4 linked regions of the Arabidopsis thaliana genome follow. The protein of the gene in region 1 interacts with the protein of each later gene in a pairwise test. Each region holds a gene or a part of one and is shown on either strand. Other genes may lie near its edges.

Region 1 (8,128 bases):
AAAACACGAATTTTCAATGGTTATTGGGCCTTAAGTTTCTTTAGACATATGATGAGTTGGATATGTTTGCAGTTTTTGGATGGTTATTGGGCCTTAAGTTTTTATAGACATATTATGCAATTACTCAAGTGTAAATATTAAGAAGTTGGACCTCACGAAAGGAAACTATTTAAGTAAGGATTAAATATTATTTGATGATTTGTAAGTTTTGTACTATAGAATATTTTGTTTAGATATTTTTTGTAGGGATTAAAAACTAAATAATATTAAATTTAAAATTTTTTTACACAAACCTTTACCAAAAATGTATAAGTAGATTCTCTTTTGCTACTTGTTCTTATAAACTATCACACGGACAAACTTTTTTTCTTCTTCATACCACAAACTCTATTTCTACTTCATCAAACAAACTCTTTTGATATAACATCAAACAAACTCTATTTCTACTAAATCAAAACAACTCTTTTTCTATTTCATCAAAAAAAACTTAGGGGGTGGTATTCGTTTATGATTTCAAAAGAGTTTTAGTAATTTAAACTGTCATGTAAAATCTGTTGTTATTCAATAAATTTTTTTTTAAAGTATGTTAAAGTTTTGTGTTATTCATTTAAGATTTGTACAAAGTAATCTAAAATCTTCATAAATTTTGGGTTATTAGATTCATACTCTTATAAAGTTATTGAAAGTTTTGTGTTATTCAATTAAAACAAAGAATCTTTGATTGTTAATGATTTAAATTATTATGTTATTGGTTCATGACTTTCGACATTTTTCTTTACAAAATGAAGTCATGGAAAATTATGAAAAATATTATCAAAATAGAGAGATTGTTTGAGAAACTTTACAAAATTATGAAAAACTAATCAACAAAATTATAAAAAAACTTTCTAACAATCGTTAAAAATCTTTCATTTCTTTATTTTTTAGGATTTGATTGAAGTCATCAAAATTCCTTGTAAATTAGGAACCAATAACATCACCTTAAACAGAAAACCAAACCGGAAGTTATTCATAAACCGTTTGTTTTTCTGATCTGTAAAACAAAACGAAATAGTTTAACCAAAATCCAACCGGAAATGTATATACTTACCAAACCTATATCCTATAAACCAAGATAATTAATGACATGGAGTGTAACTACCTACGAGTGGGAAAAAAGTCCTTAGCTCAGGTTGTCAGGTATCAGAGTGAGTGGTTCGGACATTAAAGCACAGAGAAATCTGAAATCGAAAACACAGAGAAGAAAGAAACGATGGCTGACGATAATGGCGGGCCGATCTCCTTCCGCCGCTTAGTGGCATTCCATGCCATTCAGTTCTATTACAAGGCCGCTGCTTCATTCTTGTTCACGTTCTTCATCCTCCCCAAGCTCGGTGCTTTTGTCTCTAATCTTTTCTGGGATGTTTTTGTTGAAAAACGACTTAGTGTTATTGCTTCGATAGTCTGTTTAGCTGTTGTGGTCCGCTACTTGTTTCGCAACGACGACGAATACGTGGAGCTTGCGGATCAGCCTGTTTATCAGCCGGAAGATCTTACATTTCCTCCACCAGATCTTCAGTGGTATCCTCAGTGAGTAAAAAGGAAACACGAAAACTGATAGAGATGATTAAGTTGTATTATCCCTTACATATCTTAGTAGTTTATTTTATGTTCATGGTACTTATGTCGTTTGGTAGTTGGATTATGTTCCTTAACCGTCTCTGTTATTAATTATCCATCAGTTTTAAGTACAAATTTCATTTCAGCTATGGTGTATAAATATCATCACATTAATCAATCCCTTGAGACTCAAAGACAACATACAATCCGGAAGTCCATGTCTAAATCCAATTCGCCATCTAAGCTATAGTGAATTTCAAACAAAGCTGCAGAGGCCAATCCACAAATTTCATGGTACGCTAGTCCGTGTAGTGTTCAGATAATCTGTAGAGGTACTCGCACAGTACGCTCGGTAACAAGTTGGTGTAAGCTTCCTCAACCGTCTGCAAATCATTTACACATGAGTTATGCAATTGTTCATCTTGTTACCAAGAAAAAGAAGTCAAATATGAAACAAGTATATGCAATGAAGCAGATGTTGTTGAAACATAAGAACTACTCTTTATCGAACTGTGTTTGGTAGGACCTAATAGCATTTCTTTGATAGAGACAATGTGAAAGTTTCAGGTGCAGCAAAGAGGAACAAAGAATAAAGTTAAAAAAGTGATTAATGTTCGTGCAGCTAAAGTACCTGTTTCAGCTCATCTATGTCTTTGCCAGACTTTCTGATAAACGGCTGTAATTTCCCTGCTCATGACATGTGACCAGTAGAATAGAGATGATACGTATACTTACTTCACCGCACCATATCCAACTGCCTCAGCTGTTTGGTTCAGTTCCTCTGGTGTCTATTCTTTGTCCTTATCTAAACAGAGAACAACATATAAGGATGGATAGACCAAATAATAACTGAACAAGTGAATGGTTCGACAATTCAAAACGTAAAGAGTGCTGACACAAAGTTAAATTTAGTAACAGCAGACAATCCATTGACATGAACAATATGCAAATTCAGATCAACTTCAGCAAATACAGACATGGAAAGTCATTAATATATGAGATCTATTTTCAAAAGATCACTTGCTATTTCTTTACCTTTTCTTCAATCTCAACTCGAAGTCGAAGGCATTGATAAGCCTTTGCAAACTCAGTTCTTCAATCTTCTCTTGAATCTCTATCCATTCTCGATAAACCATATGCTTTGATTGATTGGAGACTGACCAGAACAAACAGCTCAAACCCTGGAACTATCTGCAAATTTGTAGACTTGCTCTGCCTCCAATTCTCTCTACTGCTTCAAGTGTTACTGATGTTTGTGTTTGAAAATAAACATCCAAGTTTTTTTACATAAAAATTTGGTTCATTATTCAACTAAAAATTTACATTTTTACATTATTGTAAAATAATAAACATAGGTTATTAGGTTAAGATGATTCTTATGCATGAAGCTAAAAGAAAAATTCAGAACTATCTTTTAACCATATGTTTGGACCAAAGAAAACGAATCTATATATAGATTAGTCAAAAAGAATTCAGACACAAATACAACAATAACAAAGCATTTGAGCTCTCTCTCTCTCTATCTCCCTCGTTTCCTCTGCAGCCTCTGTTTTTTACAAGTCAGATTAGCTTACTTACTTGGGACAGAAGTTACATGGAGAGACCAAGCCTTGTTAATTGTTTATATAATCCGGATTGGTCTTTTTGTCATCTCTTTGTTTCGTTTTCTGATAATTTGTCTCTAAGATCTTTAAGAGCATCAACGACTTCAGAATCAAGATTGTGTTTAAGCAATCTCCCTTGGAAAGATGTTGACCTTGTTTCTTGCATCATTTTCTCAACCTCCTTATGCATCGATTTAATCTACAATATCATGTTTCACAAAATCAAAATCACAAACAAAAAAAAAAGAAGCAAATTGCTTTGGTGATGATCTTCATACCTCAGAAACCAATGCCTTGCTACTCCAAATATAAGCTCCCTGTCAAGAATCAGTCACCAAAATCAAAAACAAGATATGAACATAACGAGTTTATAACATCGATATGATGCCCCAATACCGCTCCATGTGCTGCTTGTTGTTGACAGACATCAGATGTTACAACCCAAACCTTGGGGCATCCATCTTCTCTCAATGCAACCACCTATCAATATCAGAAATGAAGAAACATCAACAATTATTCTCGTAAAGCCGTCTATTTGAACAGGCTTTGGGGGTAAAGAGATCATTTTTCCTTGCCTCCTTTTCAATCCAAGCGTCAGCACAAGTTTCTCCTGAGAAAATCACATCAACACTGGCCAAAAAGGATAAAACTTTTTGAGTTGTCAAAGTAAATAAGGATATCGAAAACAGACAGAAAAGGGCCAAATGACTGTACCCTGCAAAGTCTTCCTTGTGAGTAGGAAGACCAGACATGAGAGCATCAAACACAACCACTACCTTAACCTCTACAACAATTTCAAATCAAATTGTCTCATTACTCATTAGCCATAGATGAAATCAAATGTAGATTCGTCCAAAGTTTGTACCTTTAACCATACTGAAGGACACAAGTTCATCAACTAACTTCTGCCGAGCAACGTCAAGCCTTCCTTTCATGAAATGTTTCTTTAACTTCATCCAATATCCACACACATTATAACCATCAACAAGCAAAACCGGAACTGCGTCATCCAATAGACCTTGGTTCGTGCTGTAAAACCCCTTTCAGGGAATCACAAACATTCCTTAAACTTTCAAACCTCAAAATACATTCTAAAAACAATATGAAGATAGTAAAAATAGAGTGTAATTACTAGTAAAGCGTATTTGTAGGATCCCGGTAGAGCTCGCTATCATCCGGTAACTCGTCTTTCTCTACTTTCTTCTTCCTGTAACTAGTCGCTGGCTTAGCCATGCCAGATCCTCTGCTCTGAAACTCCTACAATATATATCATACAATTCCAAAGATTGTAACTTAGACAAATTCTTGAACACTAATAATGTTTAGACTTAGACACAGTAGTAATGAAACAAAAAGATCACACTACTACTACATGCCTTCCATAACTTGAGAAGCTGCAAGTTATGCTTAACATTGGATTTGATTCTCGGTGGTTCTGGCTCTGACTCCTGCCATCAAAAACCAAAATCAAGTGAATGGTTTGCAAAATGCTCAATGAACAATTCATCATATCCGTAACTCCGATACTAGAGATCTAAAAGGAACCAAACAGAGAAGAATTTCAGAATTCAATTATTCAATTCAAATCAGTAAACCAATTGATCATAAACCAAGAAGAAAAGACTGGCAAATCCATTTCAGAATCAATTCAAAACAATGAATGTTATGATGGATTAGTTGATCACAAACCCCCGCTTCGAATTCTCAACTATTTTGGATTAAAAAGAGACTTTTAGTTCTCAAAGAAGAAACCTTTACATAAATGTGCATCTATGTGTGGACCTTAAAAGAAGAAGATTGATGAGGCTTCTTGCTTTTTCCTCCCATCTTCACCACCAAAACTCTACAGCTATCGTAAGAACAAGATGATGAAGACCAGTTAAAGTATACGGCGGAGGAGGAAGAGGAACCACCTCTCTGCGGCGGCGCTCCGGCGGTCTTCATCTATTTGACTACTGAAGAATTGAAAATTCTCTCCTTTTTTTGAAAAGTCTATAAAACTAGTGGATAATATCATGTCAACGTTACGCTTTTGTATCAACGCATTATATCTTTAAGAGAGAAAAAAAAATCCATTTTTTACGTGTAAGAAAAAAACAAAGGATCCTTTTTTACTGGAAAGATGTTTTTTTTTTCTTATCTTCTGAGATAAATTGCGATAGAGAGAGAGAACAAAAAAATTCTCAGTGAGCGCTTATTGATCAACAATGGCGAAAGAGACAGTGTGTGTAACCGGAGCTAATGGTTTCATCGGATCTTGGATAATCCGAACGTTAATTGAGAAAGGATATACTAAAATCCACGCTTCGATTTACCCAGGATCCGACCCGACTCATCTTCTGCAACTACCCGGATCCGATTCTAAGATCAAGATCTTTGAAGCGGATCTCTTAGACTCTGATGCAATCTCCAGAGCTATTGATGGATGTGCGGGAGTGTTCCACGTGGCGTCACCTTGTACGTTGGATCCACCGGTAGATCCAGAGAAGGAGCTGGTCGAACCGGCGGTTAAGGGAACGATCAATGTGTTGGAAGCTGCTAAGAGGTTTAATGTGAGACGCGTGGTGATCACGTCATCTATCTCCGCATTGGTTCCTAACCCTAATTGGCCGGAAAAAGTTCCCGTCGATGAGTCGTCGTGGTCCGATCTTGATTTTTGCAAGTCGAGGCAGGTTCGTTAAATTTCGGTTTAAAATGGTTAGTGATGATTTATATGATATTTGTAACGATTGGTATATAATTTTGATTTTAGAAATGGTATCCAATTTCGAAGACATTAGCTGAGAAAGCAGCTTGGGAATTTTCGGAGAAGCATGGAACCAACATTGTGACGATTCATCCATCAACATGTCTCGGACCGCTTCTGCAACCGAACCTAAACGCAAGCTGTGCTGTTCTGCTACAGCTTTTACAAGGCTCGACCGAGACGCAAGAGCATCACTGGCTCGGTGTGGTTCACGTGAAAGATGTGGCTAAAGGTCATGTGATGCTATTCGAAACACCTGACGCTTCTGGACGGTTTTTATGCACTAATGGGATTTATCAGTTCAGTGAGTTTGCTGCTCTTGTGTCTAAGCTCTTCCCTGAGTTTGCTGTTCACAAGTTTGATAAAGAGACTCAACCTGGGCTTACGTCGTGTAATGATGCGGCTAAGCGATTGATTGAGCTCGGGCTGGTTTTTACTGCGGTTGAAGATGCGGTTAAGGAGACGGTCCAGAGTCTTAGAGACAAAGGCTTCCTCTGAGAATGTATGATATATCTTTGCAAATTTCAAAATCTGTGACCTTTATTGTATGATACAAGTAGAGAAACTAAGGGCATCTCCATTCATGAGAAACCCATAAAGTTTCTCAAACAAAAAAAATATTAATATTATATTATAATTTGATTATTTGATTAAAAAAATATTTTTATTAAAAAATTGAACCAATAGTGAGATGAGAATTGTCATGATAGGTTGTTGAGAGTATCTTAGAGTTTCTCAAGTGAGAAACTTTCTACACTCTCTCTCCTTCATTTTCATTATTTTTATTTTTTTAATTGTGAGAAACTCTTATGAGATACCTCCAATTGAGATGGTATAATATACGTAACTGGTTTATATGATACATGTATGAGTACAAGGTATTATTATTATCATTGTTGTTGTTGTTGTTGTCTGAGGTTTTATTAAAGTGAGAGTAGCTTATGGGTTCACAGAATCAGATGGTGGAAGAAGGAGCATCTGGCTGCTTTTCCGGTAGTGCATTTTGAAACGCAGGCAGTTCGTTGTATGATTCGTAACATTTTGCAAGAGTTGGGTACGGTTCCTATAAAAGAGAAATACATGTTTTACAACATTGTAGAAACAGAAACCGAATGATGCAAATGAGAAGTTAATAAACTGAGGAATTCGTCTATGTTACTACAATATGAATATCTTTGTGAGTGAGAGTGTGAGACAGAGACAACATATAATTTATGCTACCATAGAACTGATCTAGGATTCCGGGGGAATATAGTACGCAAAAATCTAAGCCTGAAATAGTGTTGGGTAGCAAAAGAAAAATTCAGAGAAGGAAAAGTACCATGTTAATCTGGAATCTGTTGATTGCTCCGTGGATCTGTGGTGCTAGAAAGAGATCAGCCTGCAAAACAATGCTTCATGGCTTTAACAATTGTCTACTTGCTGGTTTGTATAATAAAGGGTACTATGCTAAAGTTACCAAAGAATCACTGACTTGAATCTTAAATGTTACGAAGATAGCACCATAAAGAAAATCCAGAGAGGTTTAGAGTAGTACCAGGTAAATTTCATCACCAGTCGCATGTTTCCCAGCGCAATTCACCAACAGTTTCTCGAGAGCTGAAAGAGAAAGGAGACATAATTAGATAGGTCACTATAAAACTAAAAACACTAACATATGTCTTTTTCTTGATCACGTCTCTGTATCTTACTACTCATGCCAATGACAGAGTGTTGCAGATTAGGGTAGATTAGAGATCGCATACCTGTAAATCCTTTTGTGATAGCATTATTAACCCAGGCAGTCTTCTCCTCCACATTTATCTTTTCCTCGATATACCTCTGTAAAAAAATCGAAAAATGTAGCTAAGTTTACTCTATCTAGAACAGTAGAATCTAAGAAACTGACATCAATCTCATGTCCTCACAATAACAGCCAGATTTTGATGAGGCTGTATGCCAGACAAGACAATACTCATTGCCTGCAATATACAAAATAAAAAATGCATCAGAGTGGGAAGCAGGACAATCTAAGGTGATATTGTTCATGGAAACACATGTAACAAAGTATGATTCAAAGAAAGAAACCGAGAAACCAAGAGTTGACCCGAAATACCAAAAGACAGAAAGCTTGAAATACCTGGTAATTCACAGCTCGTTTATGGAGGTCACGAGGTAACAAAGGTGGCTCAGGGTACTT
Region 2 (7,230 bases), 9.3 Mb from region 1:
CAACTAAAAGTCTATTCCAAACAATCAGAGACAAAATTAAAATCATTTAATTTCTTCAGCCAAATAACTAATCTCCATTCCTCGTTGATGGCTTTATATGTTCGCAAATTATATTTTTAAAAAGAAATTGGAAGACCAAGAACAAGAAGCAACCTCAGTATTTTCCCAGGAAGGAGCCTAAAATTCAAATCTCACGTCTTGTTGAATTTTAAGCTTATGAAGTCAAAAACTGAAAATGTCAAACTTTTCTTCTTCTTCAAGGCTCTTCACTTTACTATATATTCTAACTCCCAAGTCCACAAACTACTCACAACAAATTTAGTCATCTCATAAATTAGGGAACACAAGAAAAATAAAATAAAAAACATTTTTGTTTTTACTACTCAAAAATACCACTCAAAGAAAATGATGATGAACAAAGTTGTTTTGGGTTCGTTTCTGTTTTTCATGTTGGTGAGTTCGAATTTTGTGGTGGAGGCTCGTCCTTTGGGTTTAACGAAGGCTGAAGAGAACCTCGTGGCTAAGTTCTTCGATGGTTTGTCACTTGGGGCGATTAAGGAGTCGGGTCCTAGCTCTGGTGGTGAGGGTCATCGGTTCGTGGACCGGACTGAGACGCTTGAATATGGTAAGCATTCAGGTCCCAGCACGAGTGGACCCGGTCACTAAGTTCCCGACCGAACCAGTTAATGTGGCTGCTTTGGTCTAGCTCCGGAAATTGATTGCTTTGTTTAGTTTTTTTTCAGATTAATTATTCAGATTTTTCTTTTTATGCTTAGAACTTGGGAAAATCAAGAATTGGAAGAACCTCATTTGTTCTCTGTAGGAATATTCTTTTGTTAACTTATTGAAATTCATTTGATAATAATGTACAATGTAATATATATTGTAATTAATTTATTATTCTGATTATGTGAATGAATAACTGGATATTCATGTTTTTAATGAGTTTCAATAACAACATAGTTAAGCTCCAAATCCACAAAGCAAAAAGAAGCGACTTAACTTTAACCTTCTTCTGAGTGATAATCACCTAAGCTTACCTCTTTAACAGCTACATCCACTTCAACTTTAACCAAGAAATCGCGATTTCCGTGGAAATTGAAGTTAACCAATTCTTTAGATAGTTTCTGAAGGATGTTGTTCCGGATGGAGCTGTGGAAATTTGGCTTGGACAACAAGTTATACACATATCTAGTGCATATTTCTTCTCCATTATATAGGTAAACATTAGGAGCCTTACGTGCAAAGCAATTGAACCCATTTATGGACATCATCAAGCAGGAATTGATGCAAGTGTGACTCCTTGTTGTATTGTATGCCAAATTGTGAAAAGGAAGCATTAGTTGTAGCAGCTGCTATGGAGAAAGGTACCATACATCCTATTGGAAGGTATTTGCTTGTCAAACATCAGTAATCTTACACCGCTTGATAGTTATTAACACAATCAAACTCTTTCTTTTTTGCAGAGCCACAGTATTGGGAAGGACCTCCCTTGTGCTTTGAGTATTTCCCCGGTAGAGGCCTTACTGCTACAGTTAGTTGTATTGAGGTGATCTGTTCTACACTCTGTATCATTCATTGAATATCTATATATGATGTTGTCTCTCACACTATAACCTTTACTGCGATGCTATAGTCGGTAACCGAAGGTAACAAACTACGGAAATCGTCACTTGGTTCAGTAGAATTCATTACTTCACTCTTCGAATCGCAAGACCAGTCTAGAGAGATCAAGAATGCTGTAAACTCCTCTTTGTATGGAAATGACTTTGTTCATGCTCTTCTTTCACTTTATCAAAAGGTAACATTGATTCACCTCGAGGACCAGCCTCATCAACCCTTTTATAGACCAATTTCATTAAATCTAAGACATGTCATGATCAAAATCAATACATTTATTCAGTTTTTTTTTCGAATGAATCAAATCTCAAATCATGAAATTGGCTCTTTCTCTGCATTTGCTACACAATTCTTCTCTTTTCTCACTCACTACTCGATCCTACCTAATCCAATAAACTCTCTAAACCCTACATTACGACCATTAGTTCCTTGCACCATACACGAACTTGCTCCTCCTCCAGCTCCTCCGCCGTTTCCTAGCTGTAAATCCGCCATGTAACTCCTAACCTCCGTCTTAATCATCTCCTGCACCACCGTCATAAAATCTCCACCAAGTCCAGAAATCTCTCTTTCCTTCTCTTCTTCTTCTTCTCTCTTCACCGGAAACAACTCCGGTGGAGTTGTTGACTCATTGACCCAAGGCAAAGACAACCTCAAACAAGTCATCGGATCTTTCTCCTCCTCCTCCGGCGATGATGACTCAATCACCACTCCACCAGCTCTCGCCGTCGGTTTAAAAACATGACAAGAAGAAGAAACCGGTAAAACAGATCCACTAGATTGCGATTGCTCGCTGACGTCAGATCCCGTTGGACTTAACGCCGTCACCACAACAACTCCTCCTCCACCACTCGCCCTCCGTTTTAACGGTTTTTCATCAGTTAAATTACCATCATACCCTCCATTACCACCGAAATCACAACTCTGCCCTTCCTCTCCTCCGCCGCCTCCGCCGCTACATTTCCGCTTCAGCGTTGAGTTCCAGTGATTCTTAATCGCGTTATCAGTGCGACCATTGAGAAGCCGTGCAATCGTCGCCCACTTGTTACCAAACCGAGCGTGCGCTAGTATAATCGTATCATCTTCCTCCGCCGTGAATCCACGGTGCTCTACCTCCGGAGAAAGCTGATTACACCAACGGAGACGGCAAGATTTACCGGAACGTCCAGGGATTGATTTGCTTATCAGAGACCAGTTCCTTGGTCCGTGCTTCTGAACCAACGATTGTAACAGATCGTCTTCTTCAGGACTCCATGGTCCTTTGATCCGATCCATTTCTTTCCGGGTCGAACCAGACATCGCTCGGATCTTCTTTTTAATTTAAAACTAATCAAATCGTTTAAAACGCGTTTCTATTGTTTGGGGATTTTGGAAAAGAACGAAACGATTTTTGTTGAGAGGATAAGTATGAAGAGGAGAGAGTATTTATACGAGGTGTGATGGTTAGAGAGGTCACCGGTTCTACCGGTAATTTTTTATCGTTAGTTAACAACAACTTAATTTTTTCGTAACTGTAAATTGGATTATTTACGTGCATAATTATGTTTTCAACTGAATCAAATTGAAATAAGTTAACTGACACCAAATTAAATATGTAAGTATATGCCGTTTTGTTTTATTATTTTAAAATCCAGAAAACTGAAATTTAGTTTGAACCAAACAAAATAAACTCTAAACTAAAATTTATTAAAATATATACTATTAAACAAATTATTATGTAATGTTTTTTTAATGAATGTTAAATTATAACTAAACATGTACTGTATTTCTAACTATAACTAAACAAAGATATTAAACTAAAATCAAATCATATTACATCAAATTATAAATGCAAACCTTTTTCAAAAAATAAATTCAAATTAAAAATTCTTATATATTGTAGTTATGTAAAACTATTTAGAAAAACTACATATTTAAGTAATTTTGCGTAATTTCTAAATTGGATTAGTTATGAAGAAGATGTAACGTGAGTAGTCTGATACGTATTTGAATATTTAAAAGAGAAAGAAAAAAGCACGTCAGGGAGTGGCGGTGCGATTGGGGGAAATGCGTCTGAGAGAGTGAGGCTAAAATAAAGAGAGAATCTTTCCAAGAAAACGGTTGGGGATTTGGGAAACAGCTGTTAGTGGGGACAGCTGTCAACGAAATATGTAACTGTGTGTGATAGAGAGAGTACATTTTGTGGTACTTGAGAGCGTTTCACAGGTGGATCGTTTTTTTATTTAATTTAAATCATTTCGTTTTTAAGTTATTTCCTTTTTTAATTATCTTTTCTTTTTGCATTTTGAAGGTTACATTCTTTGTTTTTCCTTTGCATATCAGTGTTGGTATGGTCGAATTTTTGAAGATTTCTATTTAAACGTAATTAGATGCACATTAATTATCGTTGTCGTATCTAAAAACGTATTTAAGTTTTTTCGGTCGTTTTATTTGTCGGATTATAAAATCTTTAGTTTAGGTTGTGAAAGATTGACTCTTATCAAGACCGTCTTTACCCCATGGCAAATTAGGCAAATGCCATGGATCTATTACTGATTTTAAAAACAATCATAAGCATAAAAGGCCCAATTTTCTTAAAACAAAATTTTATTAAGAGATTTTAGTTTTTATTTTTATTTTGGCAAAGGCTCAATTATAGCTTGAGACGGGACTGTTTCTTATATCGATAGAAAGTAATTAATGTTATCTTTGGTTTGATCGCATATACTTAATAAATTTTATCCGTAGTTATTTCAAAATAAAGGATTTATTGATTCTGAAGACTAATGTTTTTTAAAGGGTTTGTGTTTAGTTGCTTATGATTTTAGTTGTTGGGTTCGGTCTCTTTCGATTTAAGTTTAAAAACTTTTGTTGGTATTTTCATTAGATTTAGAAAAAATTACGTTTTCCTTCGACTTTAATTATAAAATCATATATGTCGTGTGTCGTTTTAGTTTTTCTTTTTTGAACGTTGTATTTTGTATTGGTTTCACAACAAATTTAAGAATATTTTTATTTTTTATTTTGTTGTGTGAAAACACATTTTGTTTTCAATTTAAAAGCACTGAAACACAAACGTCGCTTTTTTCGAAATTGTATTTTGCGTATTGAATTGACGTATCTATACATATTAGAAACGTATAAGTAAAGTATCCATACTTATTGAGTGATTCCAGTTTCTTCTGTTTTTGTTTTTGATTTTCTGATTAAAAGAAAAATAAAACGAAGATAAGGATGACGTTAAAAGTGGTTTAGGTTTTTTGTTGGATTCTTCAGAGACTTTTCTGACTAAAGAAGCCAGCCTGTATGCCAATATTATTACTACTTTTTATATACAAAAATCAGTTATTTTGGATATTCAAAAAGATACTAATAAGATTCTTACGTAAATCGAAAACGACAGGATAGATCGATTAGAGTTTTGAGAGCCTATCGTTACTATTCATTGTTTGATATAAGCTAGTTTAACATGTCTAAAAGATTTATGTTGAAGTAAAGTTCATTTCCTTTGTCGTTTTATTTGTTGTCAACATGATACTCATATACAAAGGAATACGTTAAACCGTACATCAGCCGTGTACCGCACAAAAAACGTCGCCTGCACATGTTCCAATGCCAACATGAACCTTGTCGTGAGCTTCCTCATTCTCTTCTTTCAAGTTATAGTTAGATAAGGTAAGAGATATCGAAAAGAGTTCTTAAGATTCTGTTTAATTATCGAAGCCAAATTTTATAGATTAAACAAGAAGGTGTCATTAATGGAGATACGGTATGAGATTTTCCCTTATTGGTCCATCGTATCTACTACCAAATTCTTCCTTCCCATAATTGTATATACTATTACCACTAATCATTTATGTAGTTGGTATTTTCTTATTCAAATTAAATATTAATGACATTGACCGAGTAACATGTATAAGTGTATGTGTGGTCCGCAATCGTACTTGTATATCTCATTTACTAACTCTGCATCCCTTCACGTGAGATTTGATTAATGTTTCTCTCATTATCCTGATACCCTACACGTTTTCTGAATAAATCTACGAACATGAAGTGGTATGCATTGGAAATTTTTAGGCGTATGAGTGTTTTTTCCCCCATTATATGATATGTATCTCAATGTGCTTTTGTTTTTTTATGATTTTCAACTATAGTAGTTTTTCATGATAATCAATATGCTCTGTCCCTTGATGTATCATACAAGTATTACTTTGTGATGTAGTGAATGTAATACATTATTAAGTGGTACGTCCATCAAAGTATTATAAAACAATAGTTTTTTCCTTTAAGAAAGTACAACTTTTCATTACGAATTTTGAGGGAGAATGTATTGTAACTCAATTCTTAAAATTATATTCTTTCACGAGAAAGGAAATTATTCCGTTCGGTCTGTGTCAATTCCATTATATATACTCACATCGAGACGTAATATCTACTTTTGTCGAGAGAAAAGCATGTGACTGCCGGAACAAAAAAAGCATGTGACCATATATCTCTCAGTTCCTTGTAAAGCTATCTCTCGAAATGAGTTTATTTAAAAGTATTCAAAAGTTCTTTGTTCAGGTTCAATGTATGTGTGAGCATATTCCTTTGGCAATTGATATCTATTAAACCAAAGTCGGAAATTTTTGTAAGGATATTGAAATATTGTCTCAAGTATTTCGTTATCAGAAACCTTAATAGATATCGATCCAAGTTAACGAAGAAGATGTAACAAAACTAGATCATTGGGTGTTCTACAGTTCCCCATTAAACGAGAGAAGATACAAATGTAAATTCACGAGGCATTAGAAGTCAAAGAGACAGCTAATTCATTTGTATGGTTACACTTTGCAATTGAATGCAGGTTGTCGTCAAGTCAACTCGATAATATAGGTGAGATTTTGTTTTCGATTAGTATCATTATGTCATTTATAAAGTCAAACAAAAAACTATATTACTAGTTACATAATTTTGCCTATCTAGCTATTATATATTCACATTTAAATTGAATCTTTATATTTTACGTATTTAAAAAGAAAAACATTTCGCAGCCGTTTGATCAGATCAGTGCACGTGCGTCTTGTTTCCTACCGGTCAGGCAGAACAAAGAAAAATGATATGTGAGTAACCCAAAGTCTTAAACTTTCGTAGTTGGGTACTTGGGTTCTATGTGAAACTTGGTCCACTCATATTTTTTCTTCCGTTTAATAAGTACGTCGTATGTATGATATGAGTATATGACCCATTTATAGTTTCTTTAGATATAGGCCCATATGTGAGTACCTCGAGGACTATAACTAAGGTTTAATCGTTGATATAAGATAATATATAAAAAAAATTACTTCTTCTCATTCAAAAGGGATTCCTAATCAAAACTTAGTAACTCATGCATTTGAATTTTAATAATGGTCAATATAAAAGAAAATTTGATCTAAAAGAATTTGTGGCGTATTGAAAAAAAAAAAAAAAAAAAAGAACAACTATTACAAAGGTTTTTTGTCACGTCATTATGAAAAAGTATAGACTTCAATTTAAAACTATTTGGCCATAAACTGAAAAGTGCATATCCATCATACACTAGTGTTGAATCATCTTCACTTCTAATGCGTGATATTCTAACAACTCGTTTCTTCATGCCGTTCTAATGTG
Region 3 (6,518 bases), on another chromosome or scaffold:
CAACTCTTCTGCTTCCAATAAATCTCTTCGTCACTAAAGGCCTTCGCTAGTGACTCTTGAAGTTGTGGAATTAGTTGTCTTTCAACCCTCCTTGTACTCTCCATTGCTCTGTTTAGGCTGCTTTGAAGTTTTTTGATTCGTTGTTCTGAGTTTAAATTAGAAACGTGTTTCAGTCTTGCCATGGCTTGTCGACAACTACTGATCCGTTCCGTGATAGGTGTAGAACGTGAATTCCAGTTTGTCCTCCAGCTTGTTTGAACAATACGTTTGAATGTCGGTATGTCAATTAAGCGGTTATCAAAACGGAAAAGCTTTGATCGACGGGGAAATGACTCGTTGAAGTGAACTAGGACCGGTTTGTGGTCAGAGCCCGTGAAGTCCAGGAATTCTGTTTCAGCATATGGAAATGTTGCAGTCCAGGCTGAATTAATAAAAACTCTGTCAAGACAACATTTGACTGTGTGTGTATGTCTTTCCCCTACCCAACTGAATCTATCTCCTTTTGATCTCATATCTTCAATGTCACAATGAGAAACCATGTTTCTGAAATTTCTAAAAGTCCATTCCTCTCTCATGGGACCACCAATTTTTTCAGCGTTCGAAAGTATCTCATTGAAGTCACCCACTAGCAACCATTCAGCATTTCGATTATCTGAGATATTTTCAAGAGTTTGCCATAGTTGATGACGTTCAGATTGAGTAGGGTGACCATACACACAAGACAAGTAGAAGCTCTTGTTATTAAATGTTACATGAGAATCAATGAGTCTTTCATCCTGAGAAATCAAGGATAAAGAGACATTGTTTTTCCACATAAGAGCTAAGCCACCACTCCTTCCATTAGGGGGCTGAGTTATTACATTAGGGAAGCCTAAATCATATGCTAGTTTACATACTTTATCACACTGGTTTAAGGTTTCAACTAAAAATAAAATATCATAGTTATACATACGGAATAAGCGAAACAACCGTGATTGAGTCAGCGGCATACCGATGCCCTGACAGTTCCATGAGATGATCCTCATATTGGATCCCTTAGGGGTACCGGGCCCCCCGCGCCTCCGTCACGTCCATCATGTATCGAACACGATCCTGCAGATTCAGTCTTTCTTCCTTTCTTGCAAAGTTGACTCAGAACGCCCATTTCGTCTGCAGCTTCCACCTGTTGGTACATTTCTTCAAATCGAACCCTCTTTCTCTTCATGAAGACAAACTCATTTTGTGCATTGTCAGAGGACTCAAGGAGCAGATCTTTCTCAACCGGTGCGTCAGTTTTAACTCCTGCAAGTTTGGCGTGAAGGTAGCGGAGTCTTTCAACTGTGAGGTCTGTGTCCTCAATGACGCATGGAACCGAATAACCATCTGAAAGTTTTTGTACCTGGCGTTGATTCCCCTTTGAAAGCGAAGATTGAAGGCCGGGAATAAGAGTCGCTGGATCCACTGTCTGAAGAGTATCAGTGTCGCTTATGTCATGTTCTTTGTTGTCGTCGTGATGATCGTCATCATCATCAGCATCATCATCATCACTTGTCTCCACCGGATCTTCATTATCAAAGGAAAGGGTGCATGCCTTGATGTCATGCTTAAGGGAGCCACATTTGGTACAGAAATTCCTTAAACGCTCAAAACGAAACTTTATCACAGTGTTTTCACCATCAGCAAATTGGAAATTTCTTTGGAAGCGTAAAGGATCATCCAAATTCCAATTGATTCGAACTCGCACAAAACCCGTATGGTTTGAGTTCTCATCAAAGTCAACATCAGCAACATGTCCTAATCTATTTCCAACACATCTAGCCATTGCATTGGTAAGGAAAAGGAGAGGAATACCGGTGATTTGTACCCAAAAAGGAATGATCTTCATTTCAGCCTCGCTAAGGTTTGGATACCACCGATGAATCGAAAGCATCCAATCGTTGAATGACCACGGTCCACGACGGAGCACGAGATTCATCGCTTCCTCAGACTGGAACTTGAATTGAACTCTGCCTTTGTCAATAATCCGCCCGACGCACGAATCAGGAAAGCCCCAAACTCGTGGCATTTGTCCTATCAAGGCACGGAGGTTCTGTTTGCGTGGATTCACAGTTGTTACCACCAAGGAGAAACGGTTCACATATGCAGCCTGTGAACAAAATTCTGAAGTTAGAGCCACCGGTTCATCATCAATACCCAAGTTCAAATCCTGAACCGATTTACGAAGTCTGTCACTCATGATTGTGGATGACAGTGTTTGAGAAATGGTGAATTGCAGAAAAGGGAGAAGAAGGAGCGAATTGAAGTATATATAAGTTTGTATCCATGGCGGTTTGTGTGGGTAGTTACCCTCCGAAAGTGAAGGGCAATGATAACTGCCATGGAAACTGATTGGCAGAAAGTAACCGCCGTCATAAAACCGTGAAAAGAGACAGATTATGATGGTCGGAGAACTGCTCCGGCGAGGAGAATTGAAACGGTGTGAGTTAGGCAAAAAATCGCCCTCAGAGAGAGAGAGAGCCATCGTTTTAGCATAATTAGTAGTAGTACTTGATTTTACAAGAATTTCTTTTTTAAAAAAAATAAAAAATATTAATAAAATTAGATTTAACACGTCTATATACAAGAATTTCTTTTTTAAAAAAAATAAAAAATATTAATAAAATTAGATTTAACACGTCGATTATCTCTTTCACTCAAAGTATTTGATACATGTGTTAGCAAATTTGAAAATCATACTTTATATTATAAAATTTTTAAAAATCATTAACTATTCATCACCAATCTCTTCACTTCAAGTCTTCAACTCCCAAATTAGGGTTTAACCTTTTGTTTGAATTCTTATTCTGCCCAATGGAAAATGAAAATATTCGAATCAAAGTTGTTCCGTGGGTTTCGTATCTATCAAAAAATATAGAGTCTAAGACAGTCAAAATCTACCTAGATCCAAAAGTGATCTAACTATAAATAAGTCTAAGCCATAACTCATCTATTATACTATACTAGTGAATACAACTATTAAAATTCTTATATATAACTTGGAAGGTCCAAAGATTTTGGATCCATCAACAGAACAATTGGTTCAAATGTAAAAGTTATGAATGAAGCACAAAGTTCCTAACATGAATCGCACATAGCTCCAAACACGTATCGCACCGGTTTAAGAGACTACTAGCCACAAGGTAGGCAATGAGAGTCATTTCACTTTATTTGGTCTAAGTCTTGCGAATTCTCCATTTTCACGACTGATATGACTCGTTTTATATCTAGTCGTCAACTGTACTTAGTTTTGTTCGGGTTGTGAAATTTTCGTGATTGCATAGAATGTTACTCTTAACTTGATGTTAACCGGTTTCTCCATCATCGTGCAAAGCTGGAAACAAATTACAACAAAAAATCATGTTATAGAGCTAAAGAAAGAAAGGATTGAAATCAATATATGTTGCTATTCATGAAATCTTGAGTATATGAATTATTTTTGAAATTTATATTAATTTTTCTATACTTGAGAACATCTAAATATAATATATTTTTTATATTATACATATAATACTTTTCAAGATTTAAAATTGAAGAGTATATATATATATACCAAAAAAAAGGGACAACAGATAAAGATAAAAGGCCCAAATAATCACAAAAATCCTAGAATCGCATCGAACGGTTAGAATCAATCGATATCCATCATATCAATATACACTGCACCGTAGCATATAACAACCCCCTGGGCTTCTCCAAAGTTCTGGAGTCAGAGAAAATGAAGAAGAAACAAGATAACGAAGAACTGTCTCGACTTCTGTAATCTGTATAAAATACTTTCCACTCAAACATATATACACATCTCTAGAAAACAAGCTTAGCTAAAGAAGAAAGATAGAAGAATATGGCAGACAGAGGAATATTCTTGTATCCATTTAGAAGATTCCAAGAATGGTCAAGATCAACGGCTCTGATTGATTGGATGGAATCAAACAACTCTCATATCTTCAAGATCAACGTTCCTGGTTACAACAAAGAAGACATCAAAGTACAGATTGAAGAAGGGAATGTTTTGAGTATAAGAGGAGAAGGAATAAAGGAAGAGAAGAAGGAGAATTTGGTGTGGCACGTGGCGGAGAGAGAAGCTTTTTCCGGTGGTGGAAGTGAGTTTTTGCGGCGGATTGAGTTGCCGGAGAATGTGAAAGTTGATCAAGTTAAAGCTTACGTGGAGAATGGTGTTCTTACAGTTGTTGTTCCTAAGGACACTTCATCGAAATCGTCTAAAGTTAGGAATGTTAATATTACTAGCAAGCTTTGATGTCTAAACCGGGTTAAACCGGTTTTTGGTTTTCTTAAGATGAATAAAATTGGACTTTGTTATTTCATAAATCTAATGAATTGCAGTATGCCAGTATGTAATATTTAGGAATCCAATAAGATGTTAATATTACTAGCAAGCTTTGAAGTTTTAACCGGATTAAACCGGGTTTTGATTTTCATGAACCGAAAGTATTTGAACATTGAAGAATTGTAAAACAAGATTTAAACCAAGAAGAAACCAAAAGCTGATGATTTACATCTGATTGATTCTCAACAAATAAAACAACATCAAGAAACCAAAAACAAGCTTTGTTTTCCTCTAGACCAATGAGCTTGTTGTGTCTGTTTATGTGGCAGTTCTCGAGTGCTTAATGAGCCAATCGATGACCGCATCAATGTTTATCGAGTCCTTACACGAGATCATGTAACAGCAAACCTCTCTGTCTGTTACAGATTCAAGCCCTCTGCATCAAAACAATCCAAAGTCATATACTCGAATCCAGATTGTTTTGTATGGACTTTGAATAAGAAACTTACAGTTGATCAACCAAAGCTTGCTTAGAGAGAGCTTCAGACTTATCGATTTTGTTGCCAAGAATCAGAAGAGGAATGCCATTTAAAGACGGTTTCGTTAGCAGATCATTCAATTCGCTTCTTGATATCGGTACACTATCTCGATCTGCAGCATCAATCACATATCTGCAATATTACCACAGCAACATATACCATCAAAGATTATTAACCAAATAGTAACATGGGATGTTCAAAACATATCGAAGAAGTTTTAAGAGGATGTACACAATGGCGGAAACACCGCGACAGTAACGTTCCCACATGGTACGAAACCTTCGTTGCCCTCCAAGATCCCAAATCTTTATTGTAACATTTCCTTTTGTAACTTTCCTCATGTTAAATCCTACAGTTGGTATCATATCTTCACTGTAACCTCCAGTCTTGACAAATCCAAAGAAAACAAGAAGTGAAACGCGTAAGATTAGATTTGTTCGAGAATACTATTTATCGACTAAAACCTCTGATGAAATTTCTACTCACAGCAATGGCATTGACAAGAGAAGTCTTCCCAGCATTTTGAAGTCCAACGAGTGACAGCTCCATCTCTTGTTTGAAAAACAAGCTGACACAACAAATATAAGCAAACACAGAATCAAAATCTAAGTGTTACCAAAACGTGATTCTGCTATACACTAAAAACATAAGTATAACCAAAAACAACAATACATTACTAACCAACTATAACCTACTCTTTTAACCATTCTATAACATCACATAAAGCATCACTACTATAAATGGATTAAAATGACAATCAAGTCAAGAGAATTAATACACAAGAACATAGAAATAACGGTAGATTTCTCAGCGAACCAATTCATATAATGTAACAATAAAAGATACAGCCCAAGAAACTCAAGAGAAGTTTGAGATTTTGAAACAATAATTGTTGACTCTTTGTGAGAAAAATTGGTTTTTGGCAACGTTTTTACTAAACCCAGAACTATAACTCTAAACTACTTCAATGGAAGAACAAAAGGACTACAACTAATAAACCAACTTAATCAGCAAAACAAAATGAAAGTTAGAAATTTGTTTACCTCCGGAGCCAATTAAGAAGTGAATCCCAAAGACCCATCTCCAAAGATTTGATCTTTTCGAAGATTTAACACTCGAGTTCTGGATTTGGAGATTCAAAATCGAAATATTTCGTAGCCCTAGTTCGATTCTTGAATTTTGCTAGATGGGTAATGAGAGAAACAGAGAGGAAGAGGAACAGGGAAGAATCTGGACCTTACTTAAGGTAATAGAATTTGTCAGTTTGTGAAAACGGTGTCTCTTCCTTCACTCTTGGTGTCACGCTATTGTTGCTTTTAGAATTTTAGATGTCACCATTCTTTTTTTTTTTGTGTGTTCCTTTTATTTCTTTTATGGGAAATTTGCAAAGAATAACTAACAAAAATTTATAAATTAAAAAAGTAATACAAGAAAAAAAAAACAGCTATATTCTCTATATTATATATAATAATGGCATATTTACCTCTTTCTCTCTACCTTATTCTAAGTTCCTCCTTCTCTCCTCTCTTTTTCATCTTTTTTTTTTTTTTTCTCTCAATCTCTTCTCTTTTTTTTTTCTGTATAACACAACAAACAAACGAAAAGAACAAACTAGATTTTTCAGATACCACTTATGTTATCTGATTGCTTGGGTTGCCAAAGTTGTATCTTAGGGT
Region 4 (8,842 bases), on another chromosome or scaffold:
AATGAGTGAAAAAAAAAAAACAGGTTTTGTTGTAGCAGTTGGTATTGTGGGGTTGCTTTTAGTGAGTTAATAGTACTTGTCTCTTGATATAGTTCCTTTTTATATGCTTAACAAGATTGGATCTTAGATTAATGGAATCGATCTGACTTTAAGAAATGTAGTGTAGAACTGTCTCCTTTTAAAGAGATTTTTGTGATGCTAAATGTTACTTGAGTGAGAGAGTAGATCCTTTGCGAACAATATGCTTCTGTTGATAAAACAAATCACCAGGGTCAGTAATTAGGAAGGTTCAAGAATGGTGAGGAGTGAAACTGAAATGTAGTTTAAGCTCTTGAGCATATTTCATTCAGGTGTAATAATATCTTGACTCTTGATCCCTTGAGGTTTAAGCTCTTGTCTACGTAGCTGTTATGACATTTGTGAACTCAAATGCTTGCTTAAAAGCGTTACAAGGTTTTAACTTTCTTCCTTCATTTATTATATTCAGGAAGAGCTGGAGCAGCTTGAGAAGATGGACAATGCATCAGCATCCTGCAAAGAGTAAGAACTTGTTACATAACTGATATCCGGTTCACGAATAATCATTCCACAAGCTTGACTAGTTTCTCGAATGGATGCAGGTTCTTAGACAGTGTTGACAGCAAACCCGATCCTCTTCTTCCCGAGTAATTCTTCTTCTGTTTTCTGATAGTTTCATTTCAATAGACTGTGAGATGATTAGGTCTGATATGTTTGCTTTTGTGACTACTTGCAGAACAACAGGTCCGGTGAATGCGACATGGGATCAATGGTTCGAAGGCCCTAAAGAAGCAAAACGATGTGGCTGCTCCATTCTTTGATCTTCCTTTCCTTCTCTCAAAATATTTTTGTCTCTACTTCTTCCAGAAGAGTGAGTTTGTGTTTTTACGTTCCCGCGGCAGTGAATTTGATGTAATTGGCAAAAAAAAAAATTGATTCATTTGTGCAGTAAAAAATCTATTGATCTTGATGTGTCTCTTAATTTAAGAAGACCACAGTGCCAAATTCACGCCACCACAAGAAAATCTAGCACAGTGGCCGTCGGTGATCCCCACACCAATGCATCTCAGTTCCAGATTGTCTTGGAAAAGTTCTCGTTTCTCGATGGTTTACATGTCGTGTTCGGGCAAGTTGTTGAAGGACTCGACGTGCTCAGGAGCATTGAAGACGAGGTTGGAACTTTGAACAGGATTCCTTCCAAGCCGGTGGTTATCGCAGACTGTGGTGAGCTCTGAGAGAGGCTACAATGGTGTCTTGTCTTGTTTTAATGGTTGCTCTGTTTTTGTTTTTAGTTCGTTTGGATTTTGAGTTTGGTGGTAGTTTTAAATCTGAAACAAAACAAGATTTTTTTCTTCCATATATGAAAATTCTGGACACAGTTTCAATGAGAGCAACCAAAATAGTTGAAGCTTGTTACATAAAAGTCAAGAGGATACAATGTTAAAGAACATATGAAGGAGACAAAAGAAACAAAGAAGAATAGTACGTACTCTCTCTGATTCAGTTCTGGTTTCCCCTTAACTCGTGGCTTTACCGGTAACTTTTTGGGCAATCCAACCGAGCCCATCATACAATCCTTCTCCAGTAACCGCACAACTTGCTTGAATATGCCAATCATGGTTCTTGATACTGTGAAGGTTAAGTGCATCCGTGATCTCAGCAGGAGTCATTGCGTCTTTCAGATCCTGTTTGTTTGCAAAAACTAGTATGACCGAGTTTTGAAGATCCTCATGACCAAGTAACCTGGCTAGCTCATCTTTCATGAAAGAGATTCTGGCTCTGTCTGTGCTATCTATAACCACAATCACAGCATGTGTTCCACGATAGTATGTTGCCCATGAAGTTCTTAGCCTATCTTGCCCACCAAGATCCCATACCTAAAGACAACATATCATAAAAGTAAACATCGCCTCAAATATTCGATTGCCAGTGTCCAACAGTTAGTTTTTGACAGGAAACAATTCAAACTTTAGTAAGTTTAGTTACGTTTATATTCATCATTGAGTTTTGACATATAAGAACACATGCAGATTGTCATAAAACAGAGATGAATTCATCTCAGGCCATGACTTTGACCACTGTATAAAGATGTTCCAAACAGTCCTCTGGCAAAAAAACTAAGCTAATGGGAAATAGCAAACAGTTCCTCCGGTATAACAAACAAGCTAGATAAACAACATCTACAAAAATTTACTATACAAAACCATAAATCGCACATACGAAAACGTTCATTATGAGTTTCTGACACCTTCTCAACCAATCATGACAAGAACTTAGACAAAAACATCATCCATTTTTCAACGAGAAAAATGCACACACCCAAGCAAGAAACATAGCTAGGGACAATAACACAATCAAAAGATGGCAATGGCAAATTTAAGAAACATCCATAAAGTTTCAAACTTCTAAAACACGTCCCTAGATAAGAAGCTAAGAAACAACTTCACCCAAATGAATAAAGAAAGAGTCCAGTACCTCAAAGCGAATATTCTTGTAGACAAGCTCTTCAACATTGCTACCAACAGTAGGATGAGTAGTAACAACTTCACCCAAATGAAGTTTATAAAGCGTCGTCGTTTTACCAGCATTATCCAAACCAACAACAACAATCTTATACTCTTTTGCAGGAAACATCATGAACCAAAACCTCGACATGAATGCTCCCATCTCCTCCAATTTCTATCACAAACAAGATCCTAATCAAATAAAACACATCATTACTTTTACGATCAAATTGTTCTACAAACAGAGTGAAATCGAGAAACCCTAAAGATACATCCTTTAAATTGACCCATCAATTTTACAAACCCAAGTAATTGAATCAGAGAAGCCCAGATCAGATTTGGATACAACGATCCCAGATTCGATAAAGTTAACCAAATCTAAATTATATATATACAAATCGGGAAATTTGTGATCAAACCTTGAATCAGCTAGAATCTGAAGATTGCAGAGGTAAGAATCGGAGATCAAAAAAAGTTCTTCTTCTACTATTTTGTAAGCTTTTGAGGTTCCTTCCTTAAAGCAGATGGGTGGAGAGAAGAAGAAGAAGAAAAGTATGCGGGAAACAATGTCAAAACTGTAAATATGATGATCTAAATTATTAATAACTTTTAATATAACAAATATTAAAATGAAAACTATATAGTAATGTTTTCTTTTACTTACCCAAACGGCTGCAGCCTCTACCGTAATGGCACCGAACACGTCACCGCCATTAGCCACGACGCCAAAGACGAACATTGTTGAAGACTTGAAATCCACAAAGATGTTTTTAAACGAGAAAAAAAAAAACTCAAACGGGCTTAGGGCCTTTCCATATATTTTAGATTATAACAATTACATTTTCTCGGCCCACAGAAGTATATAAAATTAAATAGAAGTAAATTATATTGAGGATTTAAAATAACAAATTTAATTATAATTTGAAATCATGGTTATAATACGATCGTGTGAAATGTTAATTAAATGCTTATATTGATTATTTTATTATTAAATTTGTGCTAATTTTGGTAACGAATCTTATTTTTGTTATTGTATACGATGATTTAAAATATATATATATATATATATATATATATATATATATATATATATATAATAGTTCTAGAAAAGTCTAATTGGATTTTTTAGATCCTATCATAGTTGATAGTTCTCTTTTTGTATATGGCTAGCAATGCGGAATCGACTCTCTACATTAGATTCAATGAAGGCTTGGAATGTGAACTTGAATCGAACATGTGTGTTATGTAACACTCTTATCGAGACACGAGAGCACTTGTTTTTCAGCTGTAAGTACTCGTCGGCAGTCTGGTCCTCCCTAGCGAAACCACTACTCTAGTGACGATTCTCTACAATATGGCAAGCTCTAGTCATTATTATTACTTCTGATCACTGTAACAGAATCCATATATTCTTCCTCTAATACAGTTTTCAAATAATGGTTCATTCGATTTGGCGAGAACGCAATAAAAAAAACACACAATAAAACTCTGATTCTTATCACACATCTTCCTAAGTGAATAGATAAGCTGGAAAAAAAAAAAACTCTCAATCATTTGAAAGGAGAAATATAGTAGATACGAACCAAATCTCCAAACATGGTTTGCATCTAAAAGTCCTTAAAACCTCTCTTGTATAATCTAATTTCAAAACAATTTTGGAAAAGTTACATTTGATGTATCCTAACTTTATTTTTTCTTGGTCGAATTTAATATTTTATTAAAAATAATAATAGTAATAATCACAAAATCTAATTTGATCATTCTTAGGTGGGTAGGTACACTTATTTTACATACAGCCTCGACGGCACCAAAACATAGAATATATATATAAATACAAATACAAATATTCCAAATATAACCTCTCTCCCAAAGTCCTATCATATCAGAAAAAAAAAAAAAAATCCAAATTCAACACTCTCACACTTCGATATCTCCGCCTTCATTCTCCTCAGAGCCAACTGTCCTGAGATTTCGATTTCGATTTCTCCGATCTCTCTTCCTCCGTCGCCGGCGAAACCATGTCTCAGTCTATTCAATTCTCCACTCCTTCACACACTCCTCACCTTCTCCATCTCCCTCACTCACAATTCAACCGTCCTCTCTCCTCTATCTCCTTCCGTCGCTTCCCTCTAACAACCATCAAATACACTTCCATCAGAGCCTCCTCGTCATCATCTCCTTCACCGGATCTCGATTCATCGTCCTCATCATCATCCTCGCAAGTACTTCTCTCACCTAACGGTACTGGTGCTGTGAAGTCTGATGAGAGATCCGTTGTCGCTACGGCGGTTACGACTGATACGTCTGGGATTGAGGTTGATACTGTGACGGAAGCTGAGCTTAAGGAGAATGGATTTAGAAGTACGAGGAGGACGAAGCTGATCTGTACGATCGGACCGGCGACTTGTGGATTTGAGCAGCTTGAGGCGCTTGCTGTGGGAGGTATGAATGTGGCAAGGCTTAATATGTGTCACGGTACGCGTGATTGGCACCGCGGTGTGATTCGTAGTGTTCGGAGGCTTAATGAGGAGAAAGGCTTTGCGGTTGCTATTATGATGGATACTGAAGGTAGTGAGATTCATATGGGAGATCTTGGTGGTGAAGCTTCAGCTAAAGCAGAGGTTGTTTAATCTCTTCTTATTTTGATTTGAATTCGATGTAGACATTGCTGTGTTTGTGATTTAGATGTTTAAGCTTTGGTGGTGATGACATTTTTACAGGATGGTGAGGTTTGGACTTTCACTGTTAGAGCTTTTGATTCTTCTCGTCCTGAACGTACCATTAGTGTTAGCTACGATGGTTTCGCTGAAGGTATATGCAATTATGTTTATGTAAAAGTGGAAGTGAAAACATTAGATGAATATTATGGTGACTGCGTATGAAATAGGAATCATTTGGTCTTTGTGTGTGGTGTAGATGTAAGAGTTGGGGATGAACTTTTGGTTGATGGTGGGATGGTGAGATTTGAAGTGATTGAGAAGATTGGTCCTGATGTTAAGTGTCTATGTACCGATCCTGGATTGTTGCTTCCTCGAGCTAACTTGACGTTTTGGAGAGATGGAAGTCTTGTACGAGAGCGTAATGCCATGCTTCCAACAATTTCTTCCAAGGTTTGTAATTTTGTATCTTCCCTTTAAGCTTTGAATTATGATTCACTTTACTTGGTAAATTTGGGAGGGATCAAAGCAATGGTGAAGATGTACACTTTTGGAAACTAGATGAGTCCATGTTAGCAAAACAGATGATACCTGAGGGAAAACATACTCATTTTCACTGATGATACCTCAATTCTTTATATTCAGGACTGGTTGGATATTGATTTTGGAATTGCTGAAGGTGTGGATTTCATTGCTGTATCGTTTGTCAAGTCGGCTGAAGTCATTAATCACCTTAAAAGTTATCTTGCTGCTCGTTCCCGTGGAGGGTAAGTAAACATGCTCAATATCAACACATCATACTACTGTACAGGAAACATATGATCTACTTTGGGATTGGGTTTTGCGTCATGTATTCACCATCTTTAGTTATAGTTTTATTTTGATGTTGTATTCAACTATGATGCAGGGAAATTGGAGTGATTGCAAAGATCGAGAGTATCGATTCACTGACCAATTTGGAAGAAATTATTCTAGCATCAGATGGGGCCATGGTTGCAAGAGGAGATCTGGGAGCTCAGATACCTCTTGAGCAAGTTCCAGCAGCTCAACAGAGAATCGTCCAAGTATGCAGAGCTCTTAACAAACCCGTCATTGTCGCTTCACAGCTATTGGAGTCCATGATTGAGTACCCAACTCCAACCAGAGCAGAAGTTGCCGACGTGTCTGAAGCAGTAAGACAAAGATCAGATGCATTGATGCTCTCTGGAGAATCAGCTATGGGACAATTCCCAGACAAGGCGCTCACGGTTCTAAGGACTGTCAGTTTAAGAATCGAGAGATGGTGGAGGGAAGAGAAACGCCATGAGTCTGTACCGCTTCAAGCCATAGGCTCTTCATTTTCAGACAAAATCTCAGAAGAGATCTGTAACTCAGCTGCTAAAATGGGTAAATTTAGGTTCTTTGTTTTCCATAGAAGGCAATATGTCTTTAGTGTCTCATTTTACTATCCAAAAACTTGCAGCTAACAATCTTGGAGTGGACGCGGTTTTCGTTTACACAACGAGCGGACACATGGCATCACTGGTCTCCCGATGTCGCCCGGACTGCCCGATCTTTGCTTTCACAACCACAACCTCAGTGAGAAGACGCTTAAACCTACAATGGGGACTTATCCCATTCCGTCTCAGCTTCTCAGACGACATGGAAAGCAACTTGAACAAAACATTCTCGTTACTGAAATCAAGAGGTATGATCAAATCTGGTGACCTCGTGATCGCAGTCTCGGACATGCTGCAATCAATCCAGGTAATGAACGTCCCGTAATTCTCTCTCTTTATACAATTTCGCAATCCCGCAAAAGAGTGTTTTGTTTCCTACTTTTGTTACTGTTTTTAGACTACTCTTACATTAGATTCCAGAGGCATCATCATCTTCGGTTTGTTAACAACAGTAATGTGTAAGCTTTGTTTGTAGTGTGTACTGTTTGTTTTTGGTTTTCAATAATATCAGTAATCTTATTCAAATATTCGATTCTATCATTTAGTCCTTTTGTTTTATCTTTTTGTTAGGATATATATGTAAACCCAAATAGGATGAGTTCGAATATATACCATAACCCTATATTATAAATAGTGTATATATAATCACAATTAGAATCGCCTCTCCATTAGAGAAGATATTTGAACAAACATGAAAAGTTGCAAGAGACCTCGGATGAAGAATCAAGAGAGAGATTTTTATGAAACTCCGTCGGATTGTTCGGAAGAAGAGATTCAACGGAGTTGCGAGTTCGTGAAAAAAGTTAAAGAGTTGGATGATAAGACAATCATCGTTAAATTTTTAAATGCAATGAAGTCTTATCGATCTAAGTCTTTAAGTTACATCGATCTCAAAACCAAAGTCGCTTCTATTCTTCGTAACCACGACGCTCTGCTCCAAGAATTCCATCAGCTTCTTCTATTAGATTCACCTATCACAGAGAAGGATTGTAACTCGGCAAAATCAGACGTAGAACGCACGGTTGAGTTGATGAAGAAAGTGGAAGGTTTGGGAAAGGGTTTACACGGTGCGTTCCTAAATCAGCTGGTGTTTGGCGGTGATATTGTGGATTTGGTTGAACAACTCGACGTGATTCTCTGCGATCACGCATCTCTTAAAGAGGAGTTCATATTGTTTCTAGTTGATTCCCGTTTACTCAAAAAACCGAAACGTGGTTTTGAGGCGGGGGCAGAAGAGTATAAGACTAGACTTGAAACTGAAGAGGAATTATCATCCTCTGATGAGTTTTTAAATGGGAAATACGTTTCAAAGAGTCAGTATGATCTGGATCAAGTGAAGAAGAAGAGACTGATGCAAGAGTAAGAAGACGAAGATGACTGATGCGAAAGAATTTAAGGTAAAAACGAAGCTATGACCGTCAAGAACTAAAGAGCAATGTGAACAAGTGAAGAGAGTTTTGTTTCTTTTATTTTTCTAGTCTTTTTTTTTTATTATTGATTTGTGGCTACATTGTGATTGTGATTGTGAATCTCGTTATGTTTCTTTGCATTCGAGTCTTCCAATGTTGTTTTCTATTCACCAAAAAAAAAAAAAAAACGTTGTTTTCTTAGGAGGGCGTAATGAATCCTTTTTCAAAGTTTTTATGCACACTTGATTTAAAAACGTGTTTAGGAAGTTTATGAAAACTTCTGATACACTTTGGTTATCAAAAAGTTCATGAAAACTTCTTAAAAGACTCTGATACCATAAACATAACAAACACAATGCCTTTAAATGTTCTTGTCCTTTTTGCCTATTTTCGTCAATTTTCACACTTAACACACTTATACATTGATGCCTTCTTTGCTTGCTACGTAAACTCGGGATTCTACATTCTAAGGATGACGGGCTTATTTTCTAATGTTTGGCCCATTTAGGCCCGCAGGTTTTAACCCAACATCTTCGAATATATAATCATCGTCAATATATTGCTTTTTGATGTTGTTATTGCTATGGACCGGTGAGAGAGATATATTAGTTCGCCCCAATCAAAGTTAAACCAAATTTTTTTGGTCGAGGCCTCGAGTGAAACAAAAAAGATGGTGCTGTGAGTTACAAAAACAATCACTTATTTGTGTATAATTTGTAGAACTACTACACTTATATGTTATTTTTTCCAAGAATATCTCTATTTTAGGTTCAAATATATAAATTTACCCTCAGAACTAGTTGATAAATTTAATT

The links.
Region 2: the proteins of AT2G02410 (region 1) and MYB70 interact in a two-hybrid assay, tested with the Arabidopsis thaliana proteins (one large-scale study listed by BioGRID).
Region 3: the proteins of AT2G02410 (region 1) and AT5G37670 interact in a two-hybrid assay, tested with the Arabidopsis thaliana proteins (one large-scale study listed by BioGRID).
Region 4: the proteins of AT2G02410 (region 1) and PKP-ALPHA interact in a two-hybrid assay, tested with the Arabidopsis thaliana proteins (one large-scale study listed by BioGRID).

The regions. Positions count from the first base shown.
Region 1 is NC_003071.7:629,732-637,859, reverse strand, and holds AT2G02410 (yacP-like NYN domain protein), read right to left. Parts: upstream 5,227-8,128; 5' UTR 5,148-5,226; coding exon 4,986-5,147; exon of another isoform or gene 4,974-4,985; coding exon of another isoform or gene 4,956-4,973; intron 4,652-4,955; coding exon 4,580-4,651; coding exon of another isoform or gene 4,576-4,579; exon of another isoform or gene 4,461-4,575; coding exon 4,336-4,460; intron 4,233-4,335; coding exon 4,069-4,232; intron 3,988-4,068; coding exon 3,779-3,987; coding exon of another isoform or gene 3,710-3,778; exon of another isoform or gene 3,684-3,709; coding exon 3,600-3,683; coding exon of another isoform or gene 3,531-3,599; exon of another isoform or gene 3,521-3,530; coding exon 3,482-3,520; intron 3,403-3,481; coding exon 3,247-3,402; 3' UTR 2,866-3,246; downstream 1-2,865. Other genes in the region: AT2G02400 (NAD(P)-binding Rossmann-fold superfamily protein), read left to right, coding at 5,411-5,875, 5,956-6,447; GSTZ1 (glutathione S-transferase zeta 1), read right to left, coding at 6,905-7,012, 7,271-7,330, 7,487-7,548, 7,695-7,770, 7,857-7,910, 8,069-8,128.
Region 2 is NC_003071.7:9,902,906-9,910,135, forward strand, and holds MYB70 (myb domain protein 70), read right to left. Parts: upstream 3,128-7,230; 5' UTR 2,920-3,127; coding exon 1,990-2,919; 3' UTR 1,601-1,989; downstream 1-1,600. Other genes in the region: AT2G23270 (uncharacterized protein), read left to right, coding at 406-666.
Region 3 is NC_003076.8:14,965,176-14,971,693, forward strand, and holds AT5G37670 (HSP20-like chaperones superfamily protein), read left to right. Parts: upstream 1-3,582; 5' UTR 3,583-3,859; coding exon 3,860-4,273; 3' UTR 4,274-4,416; downstream 4,417-6,518. Other genes in the region: ARLA1A (ADP-ribosylation factor-like A1A), read right to left, coding at 4,622-4,739, 4,813-4,974, 5,074-5,228, 5,329-5,410, 5,886-5,923. UniProt on the Arabidopsis thaliana protein: Possesses chaperone activity.
Region 4 is NC_003074.8:8,134,829-8,143,670, forward strand, and holds PKP-ALPHA (Pyruvate kinase family protein), read left to right. Parts: upstream 1-4,356; 5' UTR 4,357-4,540; coding exon 4,541-5,143; intron 5,144-5,242; coding exon 5,243-5,333; intron 5,334-5,438; coding exon 5,439-5,632; intron 5,633-5,824; coding exon 5,825-5,946; intron 5,947-6,086; coding exon 6,087-6,565; intron 6,566-6,641; coding exon 6,642-6,943; 3' UTR 6,944-7,224; downstream 7,225-8,842. Other genes in the region: AGG2 (G-protein gamma subunit 2), read left to right, coding at 488-540, 621-665, 755-839; ARFC1 (ADP-ribosylation factor C1), read right to left, coding at 1,536-1,895, 2,494-2,685; AT3G22961 (Paired amphipathic helix (PAH2) superfamily protein), read left to right, coding at 7,310-7,981.